Linked DNA regions of Oryza sativa Japonica Group. The protein of the gene in region 4 binds, or shares a complex with, the protein of the main gene of each other region. Links are inferred from orthologs where the notes say so. Each region holds a gene or a part of one and is shown on either strand. Other genes may lie near its edges. The genes, in order: transcription initiation factor TFIID subunit 11, transcription initiation factor TFIID subunit 15b, transcription initiation factor TFIID subunit 10, transcription initiation factor TFIID subunit 1, transcription initiation factor TFIID subunit 6, transcription initiation factor TFIID subunit 13 and transcription initiation factor TFIID subunit 8.

Region 1 (4,126 bases), on a different chromosome or scaffold from region 4:
TGCAGACAAGCATATAATCAGATTCAGCGCATACTCCAAACAGCATAGTACACAGTTCAACTATTCATAAGCCTGAAAATTCACAGCCTACGGCCAATACTTTATACATAGAATTTTCCACGGCTAGTAGTACCGTAGTACTTCAGCTTGTACGTACTGTTTGCTCTGGTTCCCTTGCTGCGACAGAAATCACAGTAACAATTTCACAAAGCTGAAGAAATACATCTCATGTCATTCTCTCTTTCCGCGCATCTGACCGCAGAAAGGACCATCTCAGTGTCGACTGGGATCAACAGAGATGCTTCAATTCTAACGGAAGAGCCTGGGAACAGTCCGCCGTGGGATCTTCCCTTCAAGTTTCAATCTTCTGTAGGCTTCTCTGATGTGGCAAGGCCTTACTGGTCCAGAATCTTTCCTCTCAGTCATAACTATTCTAGCTGCAACAGACACAATCGAATTGTCAAAAATAAAGTGAATAAAGCCATCCCTCCTTTTTCTTCTGATGTCAGAGAACAAGTTTATGGAAAGCAGAAAAGGACATTTGAACACGGACGATTACAAAAGATCAGTCATAAGAGTGATTTGCTTTAAGAGATGAGCATACATCAAAATCATAGGTGCTTTGGTGGTAGTGTTCTATGAGCAACAAAGTAAATAAGATAATTACTCTAGACTTGCCTGTTTCAACAAGCTCACCAACAAACATCTTTGCAATTCCTGATACTACAATTGTTGTTGGTAGAGAAATCTTTTGACTGCCAGTAATGCTCGCCAATAGCTGCATGGAAACAGAATATCAAATCAACTTTAAAAAAACATGGGTGTAGCTATATTTATGGCGTCATATTTTTCATCAAAAAATAGTCGGCATGTATTTACATTGTAAGTCCCTAAATTACATATGTAATTTTAGTGTATTTACAATGTAAGTCTCAAAATTACATATGTAAGTAATAAAATTACATATGTAAATTCGAAATTACATACTAATTACATATGTAAATGGGGTGTAAATGAGGTGTAACTACTGTGTAAGTGGTTAAAAAAAATCGACTGTAGCATATGGCGCCATATTTCTAGCAACTCCGAAAAACATTCCAATAACGCAGTGATCTCATATTTCAACCACTGATGAGGAAATACATTAAAGCACTTGTCCCTCTGACTAGAACGTAATTTCAAAGCATTGTTAACTTCAGGCATTCAACAGCCAAAAGTAACATTTTTACCGAGAAAAAGGTCAAACTTTGGATTGACACTACAAAAAGGCTTTCTTAGCCTGCCTATAAATTGAAGAAAAGAATATTGACCAAGTTTGGTTTTTTATTTAGAGAGTGTACATCACTTACAATCAGTAGAAACGATGACATAGGCAAAAATGTATTTATCTACAACTTGGAGCGAAATCAACTGTCCTGTACATGAAGCTCTATCAACAATTTGGACAAGACATGCATGGTACATTGTACAACTCATGGTATGCATCCACAAAAGAAACATGAACCAAAATAGAACAGGTGTTATTCAACAGAAAATAAGGTAACTGTAAGACTTAAGAAAGCAGAAAATGTTAATGTGATCCACATTTTGTGGAAAGCTTTTATTGCAAAGGGGAACACTGAAGCCAATTCAGATGGAGGCGCCACACGCATCACACGCACATGATATTGCAGTTTATACTTGTACGATATTAAATCAATGGATGTTGGGAATGAGATCATACCTTTTTCATGTTAGATTTCTGGAATCCAGATCTGCGGAATGACTCATACCGGTTCATCTGGTCTTCTGTAAATTGAGACAGTATGGCACTGGAAAAGGAGTACATAGTTTTTCAAACATAGAATTCTTATTTAGATGGGTTTAATATTTCACTATATATATTGGAACATAAATCTGAGAAGTGCATAATGTCAGGATGTTCTGTAAATAAAATCACAAACAATTGAGAACAATCCCCTTTTCCAATTCAGAAATCTCCACTAGTACAAATCTTACTGTCACAAATTAACCAAAGTTGAACGGTGAAGGACACCAAAATACACTGAACTTGATCAAGAACATATTCTCAATAGACAGTCATATGGTTCCTAACTTTAACTGATCTTTATGCCAGTAAACGCTTCACATATAGCTGGAAACTGGGACTACAGTCTTTATGAAGTGAATAATGTCAGGTTGTTCTGTAACTACAATCACGAACAATCCTTACTCCAATTCAGAAATTTCCACTAGTACAAATCTTACTGTCACAAATTAACCAAAGTTAAAAGGGTGAAGGACGCTAAAACACTGAACTCGATCAAAGAACGTATATACTCAACAGACGGTCATATGGTTCCTGAATTTAGTTGATCCTTATGCAGTTAACCCTTCATATATAGCACGCACCAGAAGAAGGCAAAACTAGGTTTAGGATGAGCGCAGCCAAGCACCTACTTCATCTTGGCGAGCTTGTCGGGGTCGCTGGTGCCGGAGGGCAGCTTGTCGAGGTCGACCTCCATGTGGTCCTCCTCGTCATCCTCCTCCTCCTGCTGCTCCTTCTGGACCCGCACCACCTTACCCCTCGCCGCGGCCGCGGCGGCACCACCGGAGCCCGATGGCGCGGCCCTCGAAGGAGGCAGCCGCAGCGGAGGCCCGCGCGACCCGCTGGCGCCGTCGTATCCCTCGGGCGCCCCGGCCGCGTCCTCCTCGTTCGCCGCCGGCGACTCCGGCGGCGACTCCTGCTCCTCCACCGCCGCCTCGAACGGGTCCTTCATGGCCGCGGCTGGAGACGAATCGCAAGAGTCCAGAGTCTTCTGAAAATTTTTGGGCCGGGGTTGACCTACCTGCTCGCCGCCGCCGGGCTTGGTGGGCTGCTTCGCGCGTGGGCCTTTTTCTCGGGCCGGATTTCTGGGCCGATTTCTCCGTGGCGGCCGCGAGAATTTTCACCGGTGAATCAAATCGCTCGTGCCGAACGCGCCACCGCTGAGCAGCTCACGCCTCACGGCGCGTGCAGCAGCGGCGGAAACAAATTCTCTAACTGACATATGAATTTTGCAGTTCGTGAACCTACATATTAACGACGTACTCCCTCCGTCTTATAAAAGACCAACTTAGTACTAGATATAACACATCCTAATACCATAAATTTGAACACACTATACTAGAATATATCACATATAATCCTAGATTCCTTTTTTACGTCAGAGAACAACATCAGAGGAGCATTCTTTCAGCAACGGCAGATGTTACACGCTTATACACAGTTGAAACCGTGATGTGGCCTACCTCCGATGCGGACCTTACAATGGCCGGGCGCAAAGTAAAGAAAAAAGGAACAAAAAAAAACAGGATTACTACTACTACCATCATCAGAACAGCAACAAAAAAGTTTCATCTTTTCGTTCGAGACGTATCACATCGTGCAACAGGTTTTCGGGACCAGAAAACTCCCAAGCCGTGGGCACTGACCCACCGAGAGACCCATCCTGAGAACGATGCATCAAACGTGTGCAATAAAAAGCTTAAGCAGCTACAAAAACAACAACCCCGATCGATCACGCTGGGATTTGGGCATTCAGGAGGAGGATAGGATTTGCTTTGCCCCCCTCTCACAGCTTTTGCATTACCTCCGTATCGCGCCTTGTTTAGTGGAGGCCGTTTTGTTTATTGCCGCTAATCCTAACGCATAGGATTCTCGCTCGCTCACCATTGACCTCCTCTTTGCCCAAGCAAAGCCTCGCCATTAGATTACTTACCCAGATCACACAACAATATTCTTCGCTAGTTCTTGCAGCTCTCTCTCCCCTGAATAAAATTGACGGCACAAAGGTGCTTTCTGGCGCCGATCACTTTGCTCCACGAATATAAAAAACAACATACTATATGCACACACATATATACTATCATACTCCGTATGATACATCATACATGTGAATATAAAACGACGAGAGCCACATATATCGTCGTGTTTTTTTTTCCGCTTTGCTGGTGATGAGAGTGAATATTCGACCGGCTGTTCGTCTGAGGCTCGTCTGACCAAACTCCCGCTATCATTGCCGATTATTATTCCTCGCTTCGGTTGCGCTGATCGCTTTCAGCAACAGGGGGGGAGGGGGGGGGGGTGCGACAAACAAAAAGAGAT
Region 2 (4,001 bases), on a different chromosome or scaffold from region 4:
ACGAACTGACATCTTATTTTATCTGTAAAATGTGCAGTTCATGTAGGAGCATGATGTGCGTCCATGTTTTGTCTGAAACCGACTGAAAGATAAACAGAGAGCACTGGAGTAAGAGAATTTTCTGATTGTTTCTACATAGGAGTAGGAGAGTTTAAGGCGAAAGTTACTGGATGGAAAGGAAGTCTGACTAATCGAGCTTACCCAAAAATTCACAAAACGTAGCATCTCCATCCCATCAAGAGCAATATGTGCTCTAGTTCTTGTTTTTCATCTTGAGGGAGAAATTATCCGATTAAGTTTACATGTCTGAAGAGCCTAATCATTTTTGTATATCACTTATATGTGCTGTCCTAAAGATTTGATTTATGGAAGAGTAGAAGACAATTCTCACTTCACATTCCAAACAGGTCATAAATCGACAATATCGCTTGTTATTGTGCGGTTTCCGCGGTAACCGGACTTACCTTTGGATACACTAATAGTAACTTATCCCGTCAAATTCAAATAAATTTACATAATAATATGAACTTCTAATAGCATCGTCTAGTTTTTCATGGTTTACCGTGTGATTACCGTGCTTACGATTGGGTGCGGTAACTCAACCCCTGATGGTAAGGTTAGCCCTGCTCTAACTAGGAAAAAACAATAACAAACAGATATATAAGACACAGGTTTAACATCAGTACTCTTAACTATTCCCTCCGCTCAAAAATATACTACCTCCATTCTAGAATATTCGTCGTTTTGAGTTTTTTATTTGTAATGTTTGACCATTCGTCTTATTTAAAAGATTATGTTATTATTATTTATTTTGTTTGTGACTTGTTTTATTATCAAAATACCTTAAGTATGACTTATCCTTTTTAGGTTTGCATTATTTTTTAAATAAGACGAATGGTCGAATATTGCAAGCAAAAAGTCAAAACGATATCTAATTTGGGATGGAGGTAGTAATAAATTTTGACACTTTCATTTGTCCACAAAAGGCTAGTGAATATTATTAATGGGCTGGGCCAAACACCCACCAAAGAAAATTCCCAATGGGCCTTGAGTGATCCCCAATATACAGCCCATTACATGTACACCCCAGCAATCCAGGCCCACACGCAGCGAGAGAATTCGACTCCCGTTTAATTCCGGCCCAAATCCATCTCTTTCGACTGCTTACTTCTGCCCTAATCCACACACGTATCAGAAATTCGGAATACTCTGTTCGCACTTGCCCTTCCGGAACGCTCCCAAACCCTAGGCGCGTGACCATGTCGGGGTCGTACGGATCCGACGACTACCGCGGCGGCTACGGCGGCCGAGGTCGCGTCGGGATCCTGCGGGTTGTGTGCGTGCTTGCTTCTGGATCTGCTCCTGACTGGCTTGTGGTTTTTTTTGTAGGTGGCGGCGGAGGCGGCCGTGGGAGGGGAGGTGGCGGAGGAGGAGGGGGAGGATATGGTGGTGGTGGTGTGGGAGGTGGATATGGTGGTGGTGGCGGAGGATATGGCGGCGGTGGCGGAGGGTACGGCGGCGGTGGTAGAGGTGGCGGTGGAGGAGGAGGCTACGGCGGCGGTGGCGGCGGCGGGAGAGGTGGGGGTGGGGGTGGCGGTGGCCGAGGTGGCGGCGGGAGGGGTGGAGGACGTGACGGTGACTGGGTTTGCCCAGACCCGAGGTTTGTTTCGTTTACTCATTTGACGTTGTCTCGTTTGATTCGACTGTGACTGATGAAATCGTGGTTGTCCCGATTGTCTTGTAAATTATGCTACTTGGCCATGAAATCTAGGGTTTTTAGGTTGTTAAATTATAAATTATTGGGTTATTTGATAATTTGGTTTAGGATTTTGCATGGGGCATGTGTGAAGTGTCCTACTAAATTTTTGTTTCATCGTAGTATTGTGAGCATCAGAACTGCCAACAAATAGTTAACTGCATAATTCATTCTCTATGAGAGCTCCCTATAATCTTAGGTCACAAGTGCTAAATTTATGTTGAACCTCTAGATACATAAATATTATGTTATACTTGTCTCCCATGATTTCTTCCCCTCCCCTATGTTCTATTTTCCTTGGTATAGCAGAGTGGCAGAGAAGAAATTTCATATATGTTTTTGAAATGAGTTCATGGTGTTATTGGAAGCATTACAAAATACAGTAAATAAGCACTACAAAATACAGTAAATACTTTCTTTTATGAATATGTTTCTTTCAATATGGCATTAGTTGTCTTGCTGAGTTGGTTATATTTTGCAGAATATTCGGTTGCAATTTCATTGGTTCTCTTCCAATATTCCTAATATATTTGTTTATCATTCTTGTTCCAGTTGTGGCAATGTGAACTTTGCAAGGAGGACTGAATGCAACAAGTGTGGAGCACCTTCTCCTGCTGGAGGTGGAGGTGGAGGTGGAGGTGGAGGGTATAATAAATCTGGTGGAGGGGGTGGAGGCTACAATCGTGGTGGTGGCGATTTTAGTTCTGGAGGTGGCGGTGGCTACAACAGAGGTGGAGGAGATTACAACTCTGGTGGCCGTGGTGGTGGCACTGGAGGGGGAGGAAGAGGAGGAGGTTACAATAGAGGTGGTGGCGATGATCGTGGATTTGATGACCACCGTGGTGGCAGGGGTGGTTATGGGGGAAGAGACCAAGGGAACAACCAAAGGGGAGACGAAAGTGGTTATGACGCTGGTAGCTATGGACAAGTTCCTCCTCAAGGTCCTCCTTCCTATGGTGGGCCTGGTGGTGACTATGCAGCACCTCCAAGCTCCTATGGAGGCAATAATGCATACAATTCAGATTCTGCAGTGCCACCTCCTAGTAGCTATGGTGGTGGTCCAGGTTCATATCCACCAAGTTATGGTGCACCACCTCCGAACCCGCCATATAGCGGTGGTGCTCCAGGTGGCCAAGGTAGCCTACCTCCTTCATATGATGGTGGGTATGGTGGTCGGCCTATGCCTGGGGGTGGAGGCCCTGGTGCACCTCCACCCTATCATGGTGGTGGTGGTGGTGGTGGTGGCGGCGGCGGTGGCGGCGGATACACTGGCAGTGCTGCTCCAGAGCCAGCTGCAAAGGTTAAGCAGTGTGATGCAAACTGTGATGAGACTTGTGATAATGCAAGAATTTACATCTCCAACTTACCTCCTGATGTGACTGTTGAGGAACTGCAAGAACTATTTGGAGGAATCGGCCAGGTATACTTTGACCTCCTCTTGAGCTCCCACATATTTAGTGTTTATGAACTGTGCATTTCACGATTCGCTCACTGAAATATTTTGTGCATTTTATGTCTTTTTTCTAACCTCATGTTTTTCATTTTATGTGTTTCGCCATAATATCTTTTTCCAGTGTTACTGATATTACTTGTTGGAATTTAAGTAAATTTACAAATCAGTATTCAGATGATGTTTATAATCTGTAGTTGGGCTTGTTAACATTTTTTTCCCCTTTTGCTTTCACTACTGCTAGCACATTGCAAGTCATAGTTTTGCACAAAATCTGCTCCATCTGTTGTATACAGCGCAGTTAGAGCGAGCTTATTACATATTGTTTTTTTCCTTGCTAGTGGAGAAGTACACCCTTGTGTTTCAATGTGCATAATTAAATTTGGATATTTGTTTTGATGTAACATAATCATCTTGCAGTAATGATGCTCTTTTTTTTTGTAGAAGTAGTAGTACTGTAATTTTAGTTATAACCAAGCCATTCAATGATTTTGTAGTAATTTTGCTTTACTCCCATATTGGTATTTTATGCCAAATAATTCGTGGCATATCACCCCATGATGTTAATGTAAAATCTTTGATAATAAAGTAAAGTTGGTTTTACAGATTACTTAGTGTTCCTAGCTAAATTTATTGCAAGAAATTAATTTCTTTAGTTTTGGGGGTGGTAACTGCTTGTGTTTCATGGCTGTGTTTTGAGTTTTTGCAACTGCTTTTTTCTTAAGGTTGGAAGGATCAAGCAGAAACGTGGCTACAAAGACCAGTGGCCCTGGAACATAAAGATCTATACTGATG
Region 3 (4,013 bases), on a different chromosome or scaffold from region 4:
TCCTTCTCCTCTTCGAGATGAATGACGAGGGTAGAAGGCCGTTGATGAGTTCCCGAGCTTAACAAGTAGAGTAGCGAGGCAACCTCCCTGAGCTCAATGAGGCGAGTGCCGACGACTTCCCTGAGCTTGTGTAGCAGGCCCAGCGGCATCGGCTCCTTCATTGAGCTTATCGTGGGATCGAGGTTGTGCTGCTGGCACTTGTCTTCTCTGACCTCGGCAAGTGGGTGTTGGGGGGGGGAGAGCTCTGGGTCTACGATGACAGCAACACTTGGATAGGACGAGTGGCAGCGGATCTCAGAGCTTATGATGACATCGAAGCTTGGGTAGGAGGGGCCGATTACTGCCCATCAACCCTCCTTGGAACTTGCTGGTGATCCCGTCTTCTCCGTGCTCAGCAGTTCCTCTTCTCCAAGCTCGCCGCCAACCCCCCTCTTCTCTGACCTCAGCCAAGGGGCAAGCTCCACATCGAGCTTGCTGCCAACCTTCCTTTTCTTCCGAGCACGACCAAGGGGGTGGGCTCGGCACGAAGCTCTCCGCCGACCCCTTTCTTCTCTATGCTCGCATCTAGCTCGCAGCTCCGTCCATCTCGTCATGGCTGCCTCAAGCTCATAGAGGGAGGGAGTCGAAAGAGAGGGGAAGGTGAAAGAAGACTGTAGGACCTGCTGACGTGGTGTAAACCGCTCAGGGGGTATAAAGTGAATGGTATTAAAAGTTAGAGGGTGTGAAATATCCGGCTTTAGAGTATTGGGTGTATCTCTACTATTATAAAAACTGAAGATGTTTTTGCTAGAATTTTGGTTTGTCATCCATATTTGAGTCGGTTTTTAAGTTCGTTCACTTTTGAAAATACAGAACCGTGTTTGAGTTAGATTTTAAGCTTATTTCCTATTGGAAGTAAGTCGTATAAGAAATCTTTTAAAAAAACTCACATGCTAACTTCAAATTAAATACGGTCTCCTAATTGCAGCTCATGATTTTCTGAAAAAATATCCAATCAAATTTTCACAGTGAATTTTACCGTAGCTAAACCGTATAACAACAATAAAATTAAAATAGCATTTACCCGTTCCAATGCATAGACTTTTTTTTTCTAGTTTTAGACAAAAACGAAGACTTCATAGGTGTAAAATAGACTTATCCCTTTTTTTTCCAAACGGGCCTGAACTCCGCCCATCCTACGCTTATTACCAAAAGGGCCGGAGTACAGCCCACCACTCCCCTCCCTCTTCCCCCCTCCTTCTCGAGCCTCCGGCGACGACGACGACTCCCGCCGCTCTTCCTGGTCCATCGGCGGCGAACTTCCCCGCCGACGTGCCAGATCTCAAACCCCACTAGCTCCTCCGGCGAAGGCGGGGGACCAGAGGATGATGGGGAGCAACAGCGCAGGCGGAGGCGGCGGTGGCGCCATGGTTCCGGGGGGCATGGGGGGAGGAGGGCCCATGGGGGCAGCCGCCGCCGGCGGCGGCGGCGGCGGAGACGGGCGGCACGACGACGAGGCGGTCCTCACCGAGTTCCTCTCCTCCCTCATGGACTACACCCCTACGGTACGGCGCCTGCCGCCCATCTTGCCCTAGCTTCCCCCTCTCTTGGGTTTCGTGTCTGATGCGGTGGTGGTGGTGGTGGTGGTGGTGGTGCGGCAGATTCCCGACGAGCTGGTGGAGCACTACCTTGGCCGCAGCGGCTTCTACTGCCCCGACCTCCGCCTGTAAGCACCCCCATCTATCTCTCCAATAGTTCAATCTCTTCTCTCTTTCAGGAAGACTGCACCGTGCCTTCCAGGATGGGCCAATTGGTAGTTATTAAACTGAAATTCGTCCAGTGCCCGGAAATCACTGAAGAGATTTGGACTGAATTTTGCCTGATTCTTAGTACGTACAACATGGTGACAGTTAGATCTGATTGAGGCTGTTAGGATTGCATTGTAATGCAGCGTGTTGCCATTCTAGTCGAGGGAGAAAATCGCTGTATCCCTTTCAGCTTGGTGATTGTTGGTCGTCATGTGTGACAGCATGGCCTTATGAACCATAATTTTTGTGTTCTCTGCAGAACGAGGCTGGTTGCTGTAGCCACCCAAAAGTTCATTTCGGACATTGCAAGCGACTCTCTTCAGTATGTAACTTTTACTGCCTCATTCGTTTTGTTTTCCAACTTAAACGTATGTGCGATTATTTTGTTCCTTTTTAGTGGTTATCGATTCTTGGAGTCGAATTTTCGTTACCTTCAGATAGTGAATGAGAAATATGATTTCTGATGATGGTCATGAACCATGAGGTTTCTTGCATCATTCATAAATGGAGGTGTATGCAATATGCTTCATTCTTGAGATGTTGAGTAGCCTCATTTCTCCTATGCTGGCAGCTTTTTGAGATAACCATGTTGATTTTAGGCTTGTTTTCTTCATACTGTCAACTTGCATCTTCTTTGTGCTTCCTTTTTTTTGTTTCTATCATCCTTCTCACATTATGACCATGGAATGAAACATCAAACATGGTATCTTATGTCTATATTGTTAAGACAATAGATTGCGAAATATGCATAACATTGATGTGGTAGGGAATCTAATTTCAGTACTGACTGAAACTTTATGTGTAAAGTCAAGCTTCTTATGGTGTTGCTTGTATCATAACTTGTGACAGTTAAAAGGTATCATGCACACTAATTTGTTCATCACATGATTATTGTCCTGAACTAGGCACTGCAAAGCCAGGGTAGCAGCACCTATCAAAGATAACAAGAGCAAGCAACCTAAGGTGGGTTTAATTGCAGTTGGTGTACCATGGTACTACTAGCATGAAATCAGTACTTTTATTTACTGGTTCAGTCATTCTGTTCTTCAGGATAGGCGTCTTGTGTTAACAATGGATGATCTTTCCAAGGCCTTGCAAGAGGTAAACCATTTTCCTGTTGAATTTAAGCTTTCCCTTTTACTGCAGCTCACCAGTTACCACTGTACTTTACGTGATTGAAGTCACAGTTTATTCAGTTTGACGTATAATTGCAATTATTAGTTTTATTAGGACTTGAATCTCTGCATTAATAAATCTACTGTAGAATGGATTTAGTTAACCTTTTTTAGACCAATGGGATTACTTGTTAATGTTTTTTTTAATGAAACAAGTAGCCAAATTGATCAGTTGTATATGCTTCACGATGCTCACGATTAATCACAATTCAGATAGACTAATCAACTCAACAATCAGTCACAGCCTACTTGTATTGGAATATTTTACCAGAAGAACAAATGGGAAACTATTTTGATCCCTTGAGGGGATGTGCCGCTTAAAAATCATCTAAACGGTTATGAAAAATTCTAGAAAAATTTGACAACACTTATACAACATATCTATACAACTTCACAAAATCTTAAGTCCAAATTCAACTCACACATCGAGATATAAAAAAAGACAAATTCAGCGTATAAATAGTACCGCACTGTTAATATCTGAATTTGTCTTTTTGGGTTCTCGATGTGTAGGTCGAATTTGAACTTTATTTTTGGTGGACTATTAGATATAATTGTACTCTACATTGTCAATATTTTTCAGAATTTTTAACAACTATATTTGCATTGATTTTGAAAGAAAAATATATACGAGGGGACATCCCCTCGAGGGATTAGAATCCACTCCCCAGAACACATACATTATAGTACATGAAATAAGCATTTAAGCAGACCTGGGATGAGCTGCTCATATACAGGGATGAGCTGCTCATATACAGGTCTATTTGACAAATGATCTTCTATGCTTTCCCTTCCCAGCAATATTCTTGGCAAATGACTGATTCAGCTATAATCACATCATGGTCAGTACACTTATGTTTACAATTCCATGGTTCAGAATCAATCTACCTTCTACACACGAAACCTCACACAAAAGGGCATCCTTGACATGTCACAATATCACATAACTCTGGACTGTAATGCTCTACAGATGAGCTATCATTATAGAAGCTTTGTGCTTTCATGAAATATGTTTGTTCCACATACTACCAATTTGAGATTTATTTTTGTT
Region 4 (4,198 bases):
CCCAACTTGTATAGGGCCTCTTTTGGAATGGAGGATTTTTTCAGGAATTGAACTATAATTCCTGTGGAATTCCTATAAGATTCCTACGTTCGAAAGGGCCTTAAATGATTTATTTAGGCCCATAAACTTTCAATCTAGGGTTTATAAGTTTGCAAAATTTATATTAGTACTACCTCCGTCCCAAAATAAGTGCAGACATGAGTTTCCGCGCCCAACTTTGATCGTCTGTCTTATTTGAAATTTTTTTATAATTAACAATTTTGTTGTTATAAGATGATAAAATATGAATAGTACTTTACTCGTGACTTATGTTTTTATTTTTTTTTTCAAATTTTTTTCAAATAAGACGAATGGTCAAAGTTGGGCGCTGAAAATTATGGCTACACTTATTTTGGGACAGAGGGAGTAGTTCACTACAAGTCCAATCTGCCAAAAGGTTACATCAACATGTTATGTGTGAATAGCGACCAGAGTTGAGTTGTGGGACTGGGGACAATCAGAAGACGGGGGCGTCTAAGTGTCTACTCCCTCCGTTCCTACAATATAAAGGATTTTGAGTTTTTGCTTGTAACGTTTGACCATTCGTCTTATTCTATTTTTTTTTCAAATATAAAAAACGAAAAGTTGTGCTTAAAGTACTGTGGATAATAAAGTAAGTCACAAATAAAATAAATAATAATTTCAAAATTTTTTGAATAAAACGAGTGGTCAAACGTTACAAGCAAAAAAAACTTTAAATCCCTTATATTATGGGACGGAGGGAGTAACTATTAGCCATGTTTAGATTTGGTGTTTAACTATTAGTCACTCATATATAAATAACAGCTCTCATGTGTCTTTGACATAGGGGTCCAGTGACAAGTGACAGATAGTTAATTGTCACAAAGTGGTAAATATTTAAATCTCTCCCAGAAAAGGGCTGGAGAGAGGTGATCCGTCCGCCCATGGGCTGCTATAAAAAGAGTGACGGCCCATCTAGTGGGAAGATTGGGCCCTCCAATCTAACGTCGGTTCCCACCGCGTAAACGGCCCAGATCTCACGCCAGCCCGGCCCGCCTGCGCCCGCACCCCCCACCCGCGCCGCCCCCGATCCGCACCCCGCATTCGGCAACCGAGCCCTCTCCTCTCACCGATACCTCCGCCGCTCTCGCGATCCCCCTCCCCCCCCCACCCTTCCTCCCCGCCCCTCCGCCGCCACCCTCCTCGCCGCCGCCGCCGCCTTCGTGCAGGACCCCGGCGCCGCCGTCGACGCGGACGACGCTGTCCCCGCCGCCATCGCGCTTTGAGATTCGTGCGACTGACGTTGGAGGCCCGTACGTGGCGCGGATCGAGGGGAATCGCCCCCCCCCCCGGTCCCTGGCTGGACTCCACCTCTCCGCGACGCGCTCCTCTCCTGGCGAATTTTTTGTTTATTTATATTTGGGAGTAATTGGCTGCGCTCAGCTCCGGTCCAGCGCCCGGCGAATTCCACCGTTAGCGTCGCTAGGGTTTCGGTGGCCTGCGCGCCCGGCGGTGGGGGGGGGGGGGTCTGGCGGTCTAGGGTTTGCGGCCGCGGCTTGCGCCGTCGCGGCGCGGAGGCGTCCTCGTCGTTGTTGTTGGTGGGGCGGTGGCGGAAGCCATGGGCGACGGCGAGCGCCGCGAGGACGAGAACCCGACCACCAGTGCCGCAGGTAAGCTCGATTCCACGGAGCTTGTTGCCTTTTGGTTTGGTTTCTGTGGTCCCGCGACGCGAGCTTCGATCCCCGGGTGGGACTGTCTAGGGTTGTGAATTGCTGCGACGAGGAGGCAGGGTTTTGATGCGATTCGGTCCGCGCGCTTGTGTACTTTTGTGTTTTTTCTGTGGCCAGGCTTACACATTACGCTGTAAATTCGGTGCCTGGTAATGAAGGTTGGATTTGATGAGCTGCAGATTTGCTGTCTGGTGTCCTATATATATATGATTAGATGATCATTTTTTTTTGAAAGTTTAGGAGGGGTTTGGACAAAAGCTGTTTCTTTCAGCAAGCTCCCCGTGCTGTCTTATCAATTGTCATGAACTTTCTAAGCCCTGAAGGAATACCAGCATGCTAGTATCTTTTACTATATAAATAGTTATGTATTCTTTCCGTTTTGAATTGTGACTGGATAGCCAACCAATCTGGGTAAAACGAGATGCCCAAGATCATGCAACTATTGCCACAACTGATTACTATATATATATATTCATTTTAGAGAGCAGAATTCCATGTCCAGTTGTACTCCAGTTTCCTCATCTAAATATGGAATTCATAATACATATAGTAATGATGAATTAAAAAAGATCCTTTAGCTGGATAAGGGCATACTTTAGCCAAGTGAATTTTCAATGCAGCATGCATGGTGCTCATTCCTGTGTCTACTAGGGAAGTGAAGCTGTAGAATGAAACAACGGACTGTCTAAGATTCTCAATTGCCAAAAGATCACATGAACCCTCTGAGAATCGTTTATGGCTGCAAAGCAACATTCTTCTGTTTATACATGTTGCATTACAAGAGTTTAGCATCATTCTGCGAGCCTTTTTTATCAGTCTTTCTAAGTTCCGAATTTGACTTTGTTGATGAGATGTCAATTCTTTAAAATCTGAATTCATAATAACACCATCTGTTTTTGTGGACAATAATTTTAGGATGTGAGTTGCAGTGTGGGGATGGACAAAATTGCTTTTAAGTTTTAATTGTTTTGTCCTTTTCTTCTACAATCTGGATTATTGATTTGCCATAATAATTGATGAGTGTTGATTAGACTTGATCAATTAGTACTGAGTTAATTGATCCAACCAGTTATGCTGTTGCTATTTTTGTTATCCTTTGCAGATGACGATGATGATGAGGATTATGATGAACCTGGTGGAGGGAATCACTTCTTGGGCTTCATGTTCGGCAATGTTGATGATTCTGGTGACTTGGATGCTGACTATCTCGACGAGGTAGTTGAACAATTTTTGAAATGGTGGAATATCCTTTTTTTGTTACATGTTTTTTTAATAAAAAAATATCATGCTGCCTCTAGCAGATATACTGCAGAATATGCATGTTAGTTAGCATTTCTGTGTGGATACCCTGTGATTTCTCCTAGATGATATAGTCCAGTAAAGAACTTGTTAGGTGGGAGGCAATTTTTTATTTGCCACTGAATGATTCACACAATTCCTTTACACTGAGATGTGGACAGAGTGTGCAAATTAAAGGATTGGGTAAATTTACAGCAGTGTAGGAGGAATATATGCAAAATAAAAAGTTTGCTCAATGTAATATTGATGTACTCCCTCCGTCCCAAATTATAAGGCCTATATTTTTTTACACGGTCTACAATGACATACTCTGACCATTAATTTATTTCATATTATGTTATCAAACAACTATAAAATAAGTATCACAATAAAGTATTTTAAAATACAAATATAATGATATAACATGCATCATACTTAGCATAGATATAGCTAGTGTAATTATTAGTCAAAATTTATTGAGTTTGATTTTCCTTGATACAAGGACGCCCTATAATTTGGGACGTAGGGATTATTGTTTTGGCAGTATGGATGTAGTCCTTTCATCTCACCACTCACCATCATAAGTTAATTTCTTGGCACTACAGCAGCATGGACCTACCTCTAATGGCGGTCCATTCACTACATTTTATTTAACATGAGTCCTTTATTTTTTTCCCTGAACATTTAACTTTTATATATTTTTCTAATTAGAGTTACCAATTTCTTGATAGGATCCAACATAAGTACTGAGCATCTTATACCCCACAAACTAATAATGTGTCAGTATTGATTTTGTTACCACACGTCCACACCATTGGATAGAGTTAGTATTGTATACAATGAAATAAGTTATAGCCGCATTTCTGTTGTATCACTTCTATTTTCCTTGATTTACCAGGATGCAAAGGAGCACCTTTTTGCACTGGCGGACAAGCTTGGCCCATCTTTGAAAGACATTGATGTATGCTATCTTATAATCATTGTTAAGTTAATTTGACTTATATTTTCCTTGTCAAACAAGTTAATACTGTCGTTTTCTTATATAGCTGATCAAGCCTTCTGCAGCACCAACTGATCCTTCTGAGCAAGGTAAATCGCAAGTTCGTAACTCTATAATGCATATTTTTATTGTTTCTTCGCCTAACCCTGTTTATAACAATTCATTATTTTCTGCCCTTTCTGGCAGCTCC
Region 5 (4,169 bases), on a different chromosome or scaffold from region 4:
TACAAGAGATCCATGTCAGCATATTTTCCTACTTGGAAGAGATTAAATGAAGAGAGAGAGAGTATAGCTATCTACTAATCTGGAGATAGTCTATAGAGAAAAACGAGACAATAGATTAGAGAGCTATAGATATCCATGTAGACATACCATTGAAGTGATTTACTATTAATTTAGTCTATTGCTGAGATGTACATGTTTTATAGATAGCACTTTACATTAACATTGCGGGTGCTCTAAGTGATCAAATATAGTAACCTTTTTCGTTTTAGCAAGAAAACTTGGTTTCTAAGAGCGGGTACAATAGTGCTATTAGGAACGCTCCAAAACTTGTTAATCAGTCTAAAACGAGATTAAGGAAAGAAAATCAGTGATTGAGAAAGAAGCCGTCGCTTGTTCTGGCGCCGGCGCTTGTACAGCGCTCCACGCTGTATCGGCCAGGAGATACAATAAAAAAATTTGTTTGTGGGTTCTACTGCTTGTTAATTCGTTTGAACCAAGGTAGTTTATAGCTAACTTGTAGTTAGCTTGTTGTATGAGATGCTTTTTAAGTTAGCTCTACTTGAGACATGATAAAATTTTAGAGCCTACTACTAGCTGCACTATTGACCTTGCTCTAATGGCCGCGCACACGCCGACTGCTTAACTCGGGCAACGCCCCCCTCTCCCACACCCTGCGCGCGATTAGTGCAAGACGCCCGCCGCTAATTATAGTCATTAGTGATAATTACAGTAATTACTGTTAATTATCATAATTAGCATTTTTCAAAATACATAAATAATTTTAAATTTGAGTTAATTTTTTTTAAATTTTGATATGGAAGTTTTCATTAAGTTTTCAGTTAGAAATGAAAATTTAGAATTTTGAGTTAAAAGTTTTACATTTTTGCGATGAAAATTTTTAATTGTGAGTTGAAAGTTTTTGAAATTTGAATTGAAAGTTTTCAAAATTTGAGTCAAAGTTTTGATTTTTGAGTTAAAAGTTTTGAAATTGGAGTTAAAAATTTTCGAAACTTGATTCGAAAGTTTTCAAATTTGAATCAATTTTGAGTTGAACGTTTCAAAATTTAAGTTGAATGTTTCGAAAAATAAAAAAACGATAAGGAAACGAGTGGAGTCGAAAATAAGGAAACATAGCACGTGGATTTGTGGGCCGAAAATCATGGCGAAAAAAGGAAACAACAAGTAGGCTGGTGGGCCGAAAATCACGGGAAAATGTGAAAACAGCACGTGGGCTGGTGGGCTGATGCGCGACCATACTGACGCGTGTGCGGCAGATAAGAATTTCGCAAGTAAACACCCTAGAGAGAAGTATATAACCAATTGCTCCCTAAGCTAGGAATATATCCTACGAAGTAGTTTTCTATTTTACGAGAAATTCTTGATTCACAAACGTTTCCCAGCCACACTCGGTCAAATCCTCTTCTCGTCGGCTCCGGCGTGCATGCCAGCGGCGGCGGCGGCGGCGAGAAACGCTGGCGAGGAGGCAGCGGCGAGCGCTTAGATGCTAGCGAACCAGCGAAGAGGGCACTGCAGCAGTGGCGGATAGGCGGAGGCTAGAAGGGAGCAGTACGGCCAGAGAGCTAGGGTTTGGGTAATTTGGCGAGCGAGGAGCGAGGGGAGGCGAAGGGAGAAGAGGGGGGGGGGGGGGGGGGGGAGAAAGAGCGGGGGAGGGATGAGCATAGTGCCCAAAGAGACGATTGAGGTGATCGGGCAGAGCGTCGGCATCGCCAACCTCCCCGCCGATGTCTCCGCCGCGCTCGCCCCCGACGTGGAGTACCGCCTCCGCGAGATCATGCAGGTCCGTCCCCCCCGCGCTCCCGAATCTCTCGCTTCCCTTCGGTTTTAGTTTCGTGCACTTTGGGGGACTAGGAGGCAACTTCCACCATTCCCTTCGTAGGAAAATTGCCTGCCCCCCCGAGGCGTGGATTTGTAGTTTCTGGGTGATTTGGGACCGCAGGGAGCAATTGCTTGCTCTTTGTTCTTCGTTCTCTCAATTGATTGCTATGCTCAACCATTGTGCTAAGTTGTGTGGTGGAATATTTGCGATAGACCTATTCCAATGGGTTTTGAGTTTGCTGGACGAGATGCGTTTCCATCTTGTTGTTTGAACATGCTGGTTCACACTGACTGCTTAACTGTGTCCTGCTCAATATATGTTCACTGGGTTTTTGTAGCAATGCAATATATTGGACGGTCTTCATAGCAATGCAATATATTGGACGGTCTTCATAGCAATGCAATATATTGGACGGAAGATGGTTGTTTTTTTTGTTCACTATTGTCTCTTCAAAAGCATTGAAGCACACCATTACAGAGTTTCTGGACTGTTCAATCTTCTCTCATTCGATTGCATGCTATAGCTTACTGGTAACATATGTTGGGGTTTTGTTCCTGTTTTATCACCATTTTTTTTAATTTGTATATATTTAGTGAGGTAGTGAGTCTAAGAATTTGCGTTCTATCCACTATTTACACGATAAATTCATCATTTGAGGTTTTCTTTACTGAATCTTGGAAATATGTTATTCCTATCTGATCTTTACTCATAAATTTTGGAAAACTATCATTGACAAACTACAGAGTTGTCACAAAAAATACAAATTTAACACTGCATTACCAGAAAAATACATATTTGAGCCATATCACACAATTATCGATTTAGCACCGATTTTATCATGAAACTACAAATTTTACAGGTTTCATCTATCGTGATGAACTTTTCATAAATTGTAGTTTTCTCATAAAGTCCGTGCTTTATCTGTAGATCTATAATCTCGTTGCTTAAGTTATAAATTTGGTGTTACATCTGTTGTTTTGCGATAATTTTCTGGAAGTATATGTTGATCTGCAAAATTTGTATGTAAGCATATAAATATTCAGTCACAGAAATGCCATTCCATTTTCTCCTAGGCACTATATGTATTTTATTATGCTGTGGATTGTGACAGGAGGCCATCAAGTGTATGCGGCATGCAAAGAGGACAGTCCTGACTGCCGATGATGTTGATAGTGCTCTCAGCCTCAGGAATGTTGAGGTAGTTTCTATTTCGTTGACAATATTTTTTAGGACTACTAAATAAAGGTTTTGTAGATCTAGTAACTGTTGTATGCTTGAATGCATCAAACTTCTGAGTTGGATAGCTAAATAGTCGAGCTCAGTATTTCTCGGAATCAGCTCATTATTAAGCTAAAAGTATAAATGTTTAAGAAACTTAGAGTTGACGATCTTTTCATGGAGACATGTTAGCCATAAATAAGGCAAACTCTATGCCTGTATCTGTTTTTGGTATGTCTGTTCCCTGACATATAAATGCCATTGCAATCATCTCTTGTTTGAAAACTGATACTGCAATTGGTAGAGGCTTTTGGTGTCTGGGTGTATTCGGTGGTTTCTTCCCCTCTCTTCTTCTTTAATACAAATATACAATCCTTCTGTTCCATTTGAGAACACAGCTCTCCTGTGTGTTCGAGAAAACAAATAATGTCTTTAAAGCTTGACATGTAATTCCTCAAGGGAACAGCTGAACTGAGCATAGGGGAGAAACCATATCCTTCCATTCAGCCCCCTATTTCTCTGACACCCACTAGTTGTGAGGTTACTGCAGTCCAGTAGGATGCTGATTTTACTTTGCGTGGAACTGAATGAGAGAAAGCTGAATAAGTAGGATGAAGCCCAATAGTGTACGCTGGGTAAGATGGGGGAAATAATCCATGTGAAAATACAAAATAAAATATGAGATATGTATTCATGTCAAATGGGGTGTGCTAAGCTAAATGCACTTTATGTTAGAATTTGATGATTATGTTTTTTGTTTCAAATCAAGGACTGAGAACTATGTATTAAACATTGCCAATGTGTTTATATGCTGTTGTATATGACTTCGTATGTAAAAGTTTCCTACTTTGCTTACAAGTAACATAATGCCCCTTTGCCACGCTCAATGTTAGAACTGGGAAAATGTGAAACTGTTTTTCTTTTAATTTCAGATTAAGAACTGAGAAGTATATATTAAACATTGCCAATGTGTTTATATGTTTTGTATGACTCCATATATAGGCGTTTCCTCCTTTTTTGAGTAACATAATGTCCTTTTTGGCACTCTCAATATTATCACTGGGTTGGTTTAGCGTGCTAGGTTGGTTTCTTTGATGTTACTTTTGCTACATAT
Region 6 (4,270 bases), on a different chromosome or scaffold from region 4:
CATAAATAAACATTACATACACATATGGTTTTATCCACATGCAGGTATTTAAAATCAAATAAAAAATTACAGTTAACTAAATTCTTGTGTTTGGTGTGTATTTCTGCTGTTACAGAGTGCATACTAGATTGTAGTCATGTAAAAATTTTGTCCAACAACCTGGGGCAAAGTAAGTCTGCAGGGTAAACAGACCTAATAAATTCATATCGTCGCGTATTCAGATCACGCATGGACAAATTATCTACAAAAATATATTCAGACAAGTGGGGCATGTTTAGATATCTTCACCCCATGTCACAGGTACATTTCATTTACACTATGCACGATTACAAACTCAAGGTTCCATATCATGCAGGAAAGTAGACTATATAGAGACTTTAAAGAAAATGCCTTTCTTAATATAGTTTACAGATAATTTAAGCAGGGAAGAACTGCCAAAAGATGGCAAAGCTCTATGAATCATTAACAAAAAGGGCTCCACAAGAGATGCAAATCCTGGTGATAACTATAACCGTTGCTGAACAGGTATGGAGTGTACCAGCCAGAACAATTTAAATTGGAGTGAATTGCACCTTGGGCTAGGAATATTTACCCAACTTTCTATTTGAACCATATGCTCTAGCCAATGTTTTTACTTTGGATTATGTATGTTTGCCTCTATGTTGCAATTTGGGCTTATATAACTGTCTGTAGAACTCTTTCTCCACCCGCAGTTCTACCAATGCCATCACAATCGCTACACTCTGCCTATGCACAGTAATCCACCAGCTCCAGCTTTTGCTCAGCCTCGAGCTCCACTAGTGTTAGCCCCTGATTTGAGCTCAAGATGCTCCACCATAGCGCTGAGACGGTGTTCCGGCCAGTGGGTGCAAGAGCAGGGGATGGTCAGGTGATTAGCATGGAGAGGTCTGGAAGGTTTGTCACTGTATGAAGCTCTTCAACTTATCTGGTGGTTTATGATTGAGAAGGGAACTGAGGATGGAAAAAGTTAATTAAGGCTTTTATTTGTGGTGGACTAGCTGAGAAAGGCTTGGCAAGATGCTCCACCATAGCGGCCTGCACAAATGAGCTGCCGCAACGAGAGCACATGATGGCGCACAAGGAGAGGAGACGAGAGGACTGACGAGGAAGATGACTATATGGAGGCTGACGTGTGGGACTAATGGTCCAAAGTGCAAAATTTGATACCATAAGCTGGTTCAAAGTGAAAACCTTTGATAATACCTAATCCAATGTGCAACTTAGGAAATAAAATCTAGTCCAAAGTACAGTTCACACTTAAATTAAAGTTCAGATTTGAGACCATAAGAATAAAGTATAACTTTATATTTTCTTGAAATTTCATGTACAGGTACACTAGTTTACTTTCATATGCCGGATCTGAATTATTACATATTAGCATGCAAAAAGTTCGAATCCAATATTTTTATCACAAAACTGGTTTACTGCCGGTAACTAGCTGGTAACTGGTTTTTTGATTCAAAATTTTGGAATCGAACTTTTGTCCAGTAGAGACCTGGCAACTTATTTTCCAGAGGGAGTAGTTCTTTTTTCCCGAAACCAGTGTTCAAACTTCAAGCCCTTGGGCTCTACACAAATATGAACTATAGGTTAAAGTGAAGCCCCTATTAATTCTCAAAACATAAAAGGCTTCATGTTTCCCGACAAACAGAAGCACTGAACCTAATCACTCTTTCCAGAAAACTACCTAATCACTCTTTCCAGAACACTAGAATTGAATTAAATAAGGCAACAAATAAGGATGTCGAAATCCAAATAAACTCCTTTCATCCATACAACCTTCATAAATGTAATTTCAGTAGAAAACAAGAAAGACAAATACAATGAAAGCTTACCAGGTCAGTGACATATTCTACAACAATGTCCTCCACAAGTGCAACAGTTTCTGGAAGCGGCTGCAAAACCAACAGAAAGATGTCATTTACATACAAGATTTTAACTTAAAAGGTAGAACAGCATGTCCATTCTTTCTTAGGCAATCATGTAGTTGTGTTGTAAATCCATGGCCTACTTGCAATTATTGTCGTTGTCGGTGTTAATTACCTCCAATGTTCCACAACACAAAGTACACAAATTGCATCCTATCCCCAAACAATTCCTAGCCTGAAAATTAAGAGATGAAAGGCATAGATCGAGGTCGGGCTTACATTTGGATCATCCCCAAATCCGTACATCATGTGCTGCACTGCAAGAACGGGGAAAAATGCAGCATAAACAACGAATTCGAAGAACAGCAGCAGTACTAAAGTTTAGAAAAAACAGTGCCGTACGGTCTTTCTGGAAGACGCCGCGCTTGCGCTTGAGGGTGGTGGCGGACGCGTCGGCGCCGCCGCCGCCGCCGCCGCCGCCGCCGGAGTGGTGGTGGTGGTGGTGGTGGGAGCTCCCCTGGCCCGACGCCGACGCGGCGGCAGCGGTCGAGGACTTGGACTTGGCCGCCGAGGCCGGGCTAGCGTGGTGGCCGCCAGGGTTCTGCATCCCGGCGGAAGAGCGAAGGACGCGAGGGGTGAGGGAGGGAGACGGACGCCGCCCGCCCCCTCTTCCCGACGGCCGGCGGCGCTCCCCTCCCCTTCCCTTCGCTCCTCGCCGCCGCTTGGATTTAGGGCTTTCGCGTGCACTATGCACAGCCGTGATGGATTTCTGAGGGGCGAACTGGAAGGAAACGAGTGGAGTCAGCCTCACACTAGCGGCGGAGCGTAAGGCCGGGAAGGGGGAGAGGCAATCGCGGCGGAAGCGTACCGGCGGCGAAGGGAAGGAAGCAGCTGGTGAGCGTACCGGCGGCGATTCGAGAATTTTCCGGTCCTTGCGGCTTGTATGGTATGATTTGGAGTTTACACGAGGGAATTGCGGATGAGATTAAGATGAGAATTTAATTTTTAATCCTAATATCTTGTTTGGTAGAGATGATAAAAATTGATAAGGAGTTTAGTTAGAGATTAGGTCATTAATAAAAATGGATGGCTGAGATTTGCTTAGACAAAGTAAAGGAGGAATTCCCTCCCAATTACCTGCCGTATTGAAAAGGAGGGATCTACATCCCACCAAAATTCTTATGTCTCCCAACCAAACAAAACACTTAATAGCCTCATCCCTCTAAACTCCCAATCCCTCCTGAAAACTCTCTCCAACCAAACGGGCCATTTGAGAAATTTTGCAACACACCATATTGTCCAGTTTTGCATTACCGTTTTCGAGTGAAGACCGGTTTGTATCGGTTTGGTAAAAAAAACAATAAGAATAGCAATTTTTAATCAATTTCATACGAAAATTGCTACTCACTCCGTTCCAAAATATAACAACCTGTACTAGATGAGACATATCTTAGTACAATGAATCTGGACAGAGGTACAAGGTTGCTATATTTGAGGGAGTAAAACCACTTAGTTTTCGTAAACCAGTCCCCACGGCATTTTTACGAGAACTGGGTGATTTTCAGTCAGTGATTGCAACATTAGACTTGAGATACAGGAGAGCATAGATAAAGAAGACATGAGCCACTTAAAGATAAAGGAGAAATAACACTTTCAAAAATATTAGAGCACTTAAAAAAGGATAATGAGTTAGTACTTAGAAATGTGAAGAAAATGGTTCATATAGGGAAAGGACGAGGAACAGGCAAATTATTGTACCTATGGCTAGATCTGATAATAGAGAGTAGAGCGTCAACAACTCGACAATAATGATAACCAAATAGCTAAACGTTTCCAATAGAAAGTTAGAAGTCAATGTTGGAGCACTTGCCACCGCCGCTAAAGAGATGGCTAAATCTAAGTGCCATTAAAATTAGATCATGGCGATGTGCTTAAGGACCGATGACGATGAATGAACAAGGATTTGCAATGGGACCTACAACTAGATTAGTGGTTGTGGTGGTAATGTGCACAAGGAGAAAGAGTGGCAAACCTCTGGTCTTAAATGACATGACAACTTGCAACTTGATATCTTAACTCTTTCAATACTCCAAAGTAATATTCTTGGAAGATATGGACCTAATGAGAAACGGGTGGAGATATGAATTCATCTTTTTTCAATGGCAACTTCATTTTTAGAATGTTCCTCAATGCCCTTTTTTTTTAATTCCTAAAACTTGTTGCCTACCTCCCACTTTGTTTTTTTTTTTGTTATCTTTGGTACTAAGGAATTGACTTTATGCCACCGAGTTTAGTACTCCATCCGTCTCAAAATATAACAACTTCTAACATTCAAAATTTATCCCAGAATATAACAACTTCTTCACCTACAATCTCTTCTC
Region 7 (4,009 bases), on a different chromosome or scaffold from region 4:
TACGACACAACCCTACAAGTTTAAGGACCGCCAACACACTTTACTCTTCTCTAAATAAAACCAATTTAACCTTTGAGTGTCCGCCTACCCTATTAGGGCAGTCCCAACCCATAGTGTCCATAAGCAGTGTCTATGATATCATGTCAATAAGACATCACAATAGAAACTACACTCTACAACCCATGGTTTCTTAAACTAGGCCACTAATAAATACATCATCTCTCTTCTCTACCAATCATATTTATTCTTCATCTATTATGAAGATACTATTCTCTCCCAATACAAAATTTGATAGTGTCTAGTGCATAGGTTCTCGTGTTGAGGCTGTGTCTTGCATGAGACCCAGTTTCTTCCTCTCTTCACTTACTCTCTGAATTAATATAGTGCCATATAAGCTAAAAGTCCTACATGGCAATGTAGTTAATGCTATAGACACCATCCTAGATGGAGGGTTGGGGCTGCCCTTAGGGCACCCACAATGGTTATCTATAGGCTCTCTACAAGAGATCTATGTCAGCATATTTTCCTACTTGGAAGGTATTAAATGAAGAGAGAGAGCAAAGCTATCTACTAACTTATAGATAGTCTATAGAGAAAAACGAGGCAATGCATGAGAGAGCTATAGATACCAATGTAGACATACTATTGAGGTGGTTTACTATTAATCGAGTCTATTGCTGAGATGTACATGTTTTATAGAGAGCACCTTAGAGCACCCGAACCATCCGCAATGGTTCAGGTGCTCTAAGGTGCTCTCTATAAAACATGTACATCTCAGCAATAGACGAATGGTTCGGGTGCTCTAAGGTGCTCTCTATAAAACATGTACATCTCAGCAATAGACTCGATTAATAGTAAACCACTTCAATAGTATGTCTACATTGGTATCTATAGCTCTCTCATGCATTGCCTCGTTTTTCTCTATAGACTATCTATAAGTTAGTAGATAGCTTTGCTCTCTCTCTTCATTTAATACCTTCCAAGTAGAAAAATATGCTGACATGGATCTCTTGTAGAGAGCCTATAAATAACCATTGTGGATGCCTTCCATGTTGACTTTGTTTTGTATAGACCATAGAAGCACCCGATAATCCACCCATCGAGTGACAAAGCTCCTGAATCGAGAATGGAAAATCCTGGCCGTTCATTCCCCGCCGTCGGAAGATGGCCGAAATCTTCCTGTGTTGAGGCATTCCGCATTCAGCCGACACGCCTCTCTCTCTCTCTCCGCTGCTGCTTGTGTCCTCCTCGCTCTCTCGCTAGTGTAGTCAACTCAAGTCGTCTCCCTCTCCCCATTTCGCCAGCTTGGGGTTTGGATTTCTCTCCGAATTCCGAGCTCCGCCGCCTCCGCGTGCCCGATTCCCCAACGGTCAACCCCTAAACCCTAGATTTCCATCCCGATTTCGACCACCGGTGCTCGAATTCCCCCGCAATTTTGGCGCTGCCACTCCCCCCCTCGATGGCGGCGCGGCCTGGGTTCGCGGCGGTGGGATAGAGGTGCCGCCGGTATGATTGGGGCGCGGCCGAGCGCGAAGGCGAGCATGAGCAGCAGAGGCGGCGGGGGTGGTGGCCGGGCCGGCAGGGTAGGCGGCGGTGGTGGCGGAGGAGCAGGAGGAGGAGGAGGAGGAGGAGGGGGAGGAGCAGCGGCGGCAGCAGCGGGTGGAGGAGGGGACTTCGGGAGGGCGGTGGCGAGGGCGGCGGTGGCGCGGATGCTGGAGGCGGCTGGCTTCGTCTGCGCGCACCGCTCGGCGGTGGACGCGCTCGTCGACGTCCTCCTGCGGTACATCTGCCAGCTCGGCCGTGCCGCCACGTTCCACGCCAACCTCGCCGGCCGCGCCGCCGCAAACGAGTGCGACGTCATACAGTTCCTCGAGGAGTGCGGCGCGGCCTACTATGGCTTCGCGGGGGCCGCCTCGGTTTCTGCCCGTTGCCTCGCCAACTCCGCCGTCGTCAAGGATATGGCCGTGTTTGTTGGCGCGTCCAAGGAATCCCCGTTCGCGGGCCGGCCATTGCCGAGGTTTCCGGTACAGCGTGTGCCGCTGCACTCGACGACGAGCTTTGCGGTCTTGGGTAGGGAGAGCGGGATGAGCCATGTCCCGGAATGGCTCCCGGCCTTTCCGGAACCTCACACGTATGTGAGGAGCGAGTTGTGGAGTGAGGAGGTGGCTAAGGCTGGGGCGGATGAGGTGGAGCGGGCGCGGCAGCGGAGGAAAGCTGAGAAGTCGCTGCTCAGCCTGCAACGGCGTCTTGCTCTTGCAGGTGCCGACGGGTTCCGACCAGGAATGCTGGTCGATGATGCAGTCAAAGCGAACGGACTAGATGTGGTTGAGAGCAAGGCGAATCCGTTTCATGAGCGAGCTTTGCCTTATGGGGAGAAGGCGGTGTCCGAGGTTACCATGCCTGGTGTGGGGAAGACATTCTCTGTTGTTGAGGCCTTCGCACCCGCATTTGAAGAATCAAAAGGTGGAGAATTTGATGAGGGTATGGATCAGGGCCAAAATGATAGTCAGACTCAGAAGAGGGTTGTTCCAAAAGAGAGGCCACCGGTGTATTTTAGAATTGGGATTGATAAGAAGTCAATGGTGATGGCACTGAATTCGAGAGCTCTGGTTGAACTGAAGGATCCCTGGTTCTTCAAGGAGGATAAGGAGCAGAGGGCAGAGTTGATACTAAGGGAAGCAATGGATAATCCACATGAACTTACTCAGCTTTAACGTTCCTGTATGTTTGCAGTACCCACAGAGCTGCATGGTGAATTTTGGACTGGCTAAACTAGGGACTTTTCAAATTCATGTTGGAGCAGCATTTGCCAAGATCTTGAGGTTTGTTTGTTTTTTCACTTAACTGTTCCTGGCAGATTTACTTCATAGCCATTACGTGCATCTCTATTAATTTGAGTGTATAACTGAAAACCACATAACTACACAAGAATATCCTTTTTTTTGTAATATGCACATTTTGTATTTAAAAGTACAAAGTTATCACATCACGAGATAACAGAGAATGCTACATGGATGGTTTATGTGTTGAATATATGTGGTAGTCACATTCTGTTATGCTTTTCCTTAAAGCTTTGGTTAGAAAAATAGCATCCACTGTATACAGTTCAAAAATTGCGAATCTACCTTCCACTGCTAGTTCTGATTAACTGGATTCCTTGTAGGCTACCACCACCGCACTAATATCCTAAATTAGAAGGATTGCTGATACGCACATGCAATCTATCTATCTATTATATACTAAAAGGTCATTAAACTTCCTCAAAACGCTCTCAAGCCGCCATATGGTGCTCTAATAAACTACTTCCTCCGTTTCACAATGTAAGACTTTCTAGCATTACTCATATTCATATAGATGTTAATGAATCTAGCCACATATGTGTATAGATTTATTAACATCTATATGAATGTGGGCAATGCTAGAAAGTCTTACATTGTGAAACGGAGGAAGTAAAGAAAATCGTAGAAAATCTGAGAAAAAAAAAGCAAAACATCTATCCCTTGATTTTCACTTAAATCAGTGGATCTTTAAATAAATCCAAACACGAAAAGTGACTATACTGTTCCACCTCTCCTTCCATGGTATATATATGTACGTACGTTAGTACGTAACTTTTTTTCTTTTCAATGTATATAGTTGAGACAATTATTATTACTATTATTAGTGATAATAAATTTTAAATAAAAGTTACTTTACAAACATAGAATAATATATCAGCATATAACTCTTTTACAAGTATACATAAATGAATTAGCTCTACAATACTTGAAAATAAAGTTTACACCATTATATTATATTATGTACCCATTATTTTAGATTATTTTATTAATGAAAATATTTGTCCATTTCTTTTGTTAAGTAGTCATGGTTGGTTTTACAAAGTTTCATTAATTTTTGTGATATAAATTATAGCGAACTTATTGATTATAATTTACATGACAAAACTATATTGTTAACCGTATTATATAATAGAAATAAACTTTACTTAAAAAACTTCAAAATTTATAAG

What was found.
Region 1: transcription initiation factor TFIID subunit 1 (region 4) and transcription initiation factor TFIID subunit 11 share a complex: the UniProt entries of both Arabidopsis thaliana proteins name them as parts of the TFIID complex. The link is inferred for Oryza sativa Japonica Group from reciprocal best matches to the Arabidopsis thaliana genes HAF01 and TAF11.
Region 2: transcription initiation factor TFIID subunit 1 (region 4) and transcription initiation factor TFIID subunit 15b share a complex: the UniProt entries of both Arabidopsis thaliana proteins name them as parts of the TFIID complex. The link is inferred for Oryza sativa Japonica Group from reciprocal best matches to the Arabidopsis thaliana genes HAF01 and TAF15b.
Region 3: transcription initiation factor TFIID subunit 1 (region 4) and transcription initiation factor TFIID subunit 10 share a complex: the UniProt entries of both Arabidopsis thaliana proteins name them as parts of the TFIID complex. The link is inferred for Oryza sativa Japonica Group from reciprocal best matches to the Arabidopsis thaliana genes HAF01 and TAFII15.
Region 5: transcription initiation factor TFIID subunit 1 (region 4) and transcription initiation factor TFIID subunit 6 share a complex: the UniProt entries of both Arabidopsis thaliana proteins name them as parts of the TFIID complex. The link is inferred for Oryza sativa Japonica Group from reciprocal best matches to the Arabidopsis thaliana genes HAF01 and TAFII59.
Region 6: transcription initiation factor TFIID subunit 1 (region 4) and transcription initiation factor TFIID subunit 13 share a complex: the UniProt entries of both Arabidopsis thaliana proteins name them as parts of the TFIID complex. The link is inferred for Oryza sativa Japonica Group from reciprocal best matches to the Arabidopsis thaliana genes HAF01 and TAF13.
Region 7: transcription initiation factor TFIID subunit 1 (region 4) and transcription initiation factor TFIID subunit 8 share a complex: the UniProt entries of both Arabidopsis thaliana proteins name them as parts of the TFIID complex. The link is inferred for Oryza sativa Japonica Group from reciprocal best matches to the Arabidopsis thaliana genes HAF01 and TAF8.

Annotation. Positions count from the first base shown.
Region 1 is NC_089035.1:28,595,761-28,599,886, reverse strand, and holds the start of transcription initiation factor TFIID subunit 11, read right to left. Parts: upstream 2,801-4,126; 5' UTR 2,760-2,800; coding exon 2,440-2,759; intron 1,812-2,439; coding exon 1,724-1,811; intron 779-1,723; coding exon 679-778; intron 438-678; coding exon 310-437; 3' UTR 1-309. UniProt on the Arabidopsis thaliana protein: TAFs are components of the transcription factor IID (TFIID) complex that is essential for mediating regulation of RNA polymerase transcription.
Region 2 is NC_089035.1:3,330,238-3,334,238, forward strand, and holds the start of transcription initiation factor TFIID subunit 15b, read left to right. Parts: upstream 1-1,201; 5' UTR 1,202-1,259; coding exon 1,260-1,311; intron 1,312-1,389; coding exon 1,390-1,660; intron 1,661-2,308; coding exon 2,309-3,176; intron 3,177-3,931; coding exon 3,932-4,001. UniProt on the Arabidopsis thaliana protein: TAFs are components of the transcription factor IID (TFIID) complex that is essential for mediating regulation of RNA polymerase transcription.
Region 3 is NC_089043.1:20,160,801-20,164,813, reverse strand, and holds the start of transcription initiation factor TFIID subunit 10, read left to right. Parts: upstream 1-1,213; 5' UTR 1,214-1,364; coding exon 1,365-1,544; intron 1,545-1,640; coding exon 1,641-1,705; intron 1,706-2,046; coding exon 2,047-2,109; intron 2,110-2,692; coding exon 2,693-2,750; intron 2,751-2,837; coding exon 2,838-2,888; intron 2,889-4,013. UniProt on the Arabidopsis thaliana protein: TAFs are components of the transcription factor IID (TFIID) complex that is essential for mediating regulation of RNA polymerase transcription.
Region 4 is NC_089040.1:27,235,762-27,239,959, reverse strand, and holds the start of transcription initiation factor TFIID subunit 1, read left to right. Parts: upstream 1-1,398; 5' UTR 1,399-1,618; coding exon 1,619-1,670; intron 1,671-2,832; coding exon 2,833-2,945; intron 2,946-3,906; coding exon 3,907-3,969; intron 3,970-4,054; coding exon 4,055-4,097; intron 4,098-4,198. UniProt on the Arabidopsis thaliana protein: TAFs are components of the transcription factor IID (TFIID) complex that is essential for mediating regulation of RNA polymerase transcription. Core scaffold of the TFIID complex.
Region 5 is NC_089035.1:18,531,957-18,536,125, reverse strand, and holds the start of transcription initiation factor TFIID subunit 6, read left to right. Parts: upstream 1-1,369; 5' UTR 1,370-1,672; coding exon 1,673-1,798; intron 1,799-2,948; coding exon 2,949-3,035; intron 3,036-4,169. UniProt on the Arabidopsis thaliana protein: TAFs are components of the transcription factor IID (TFIID) complex that is essential for mediating regulation of RNA polymerase transcription. Required for proper pollen function. May stabilize the interaction of TFIID with selected promoters.
Region 6 is NC_089035.1:13,333,485-13,337,754, reverse strand, and holds the start of transcription initiation factor TFIID subunit 13, read right to left. Parts: upstream 2,801-4,270; 5' UTR 2,758-2,800; intron 2,671-2,757; 5' UTR 2,497-2,670; coding exon 2,292-2,496; intron 2,207-2,291; coding exon 2,169-2,206; intron 1,917-2,168; coding exon 1,857-1,916; intron 1-1,856. UniProt on the Arabidopsis thaliana protein: TAFs are components of the transcription factor IID (TFIID) complex that is essential for mediating regulation of RNA polymerase transcription. May be involved in polycomb repressive complex 2 (PRC2) mediated repression.
Region 7 is NC_089037.1:23,460,522-23,464,530, reverse strand, and holds the start of transcription initiation factor TFIID subunit 8, read left to right. Parts: upstream 1-1,209; 5' UTR 1,210-1,508; coding exon 1,509-2,714; 3' UTR 2,715-2,822; intron 2,823-4,009. UniProt on the Arabidopsis thaliana protein: TAFs are components of the transcription factor IID (TFIID) complex that is essential for mediating regulation of RNA polymerase transcription.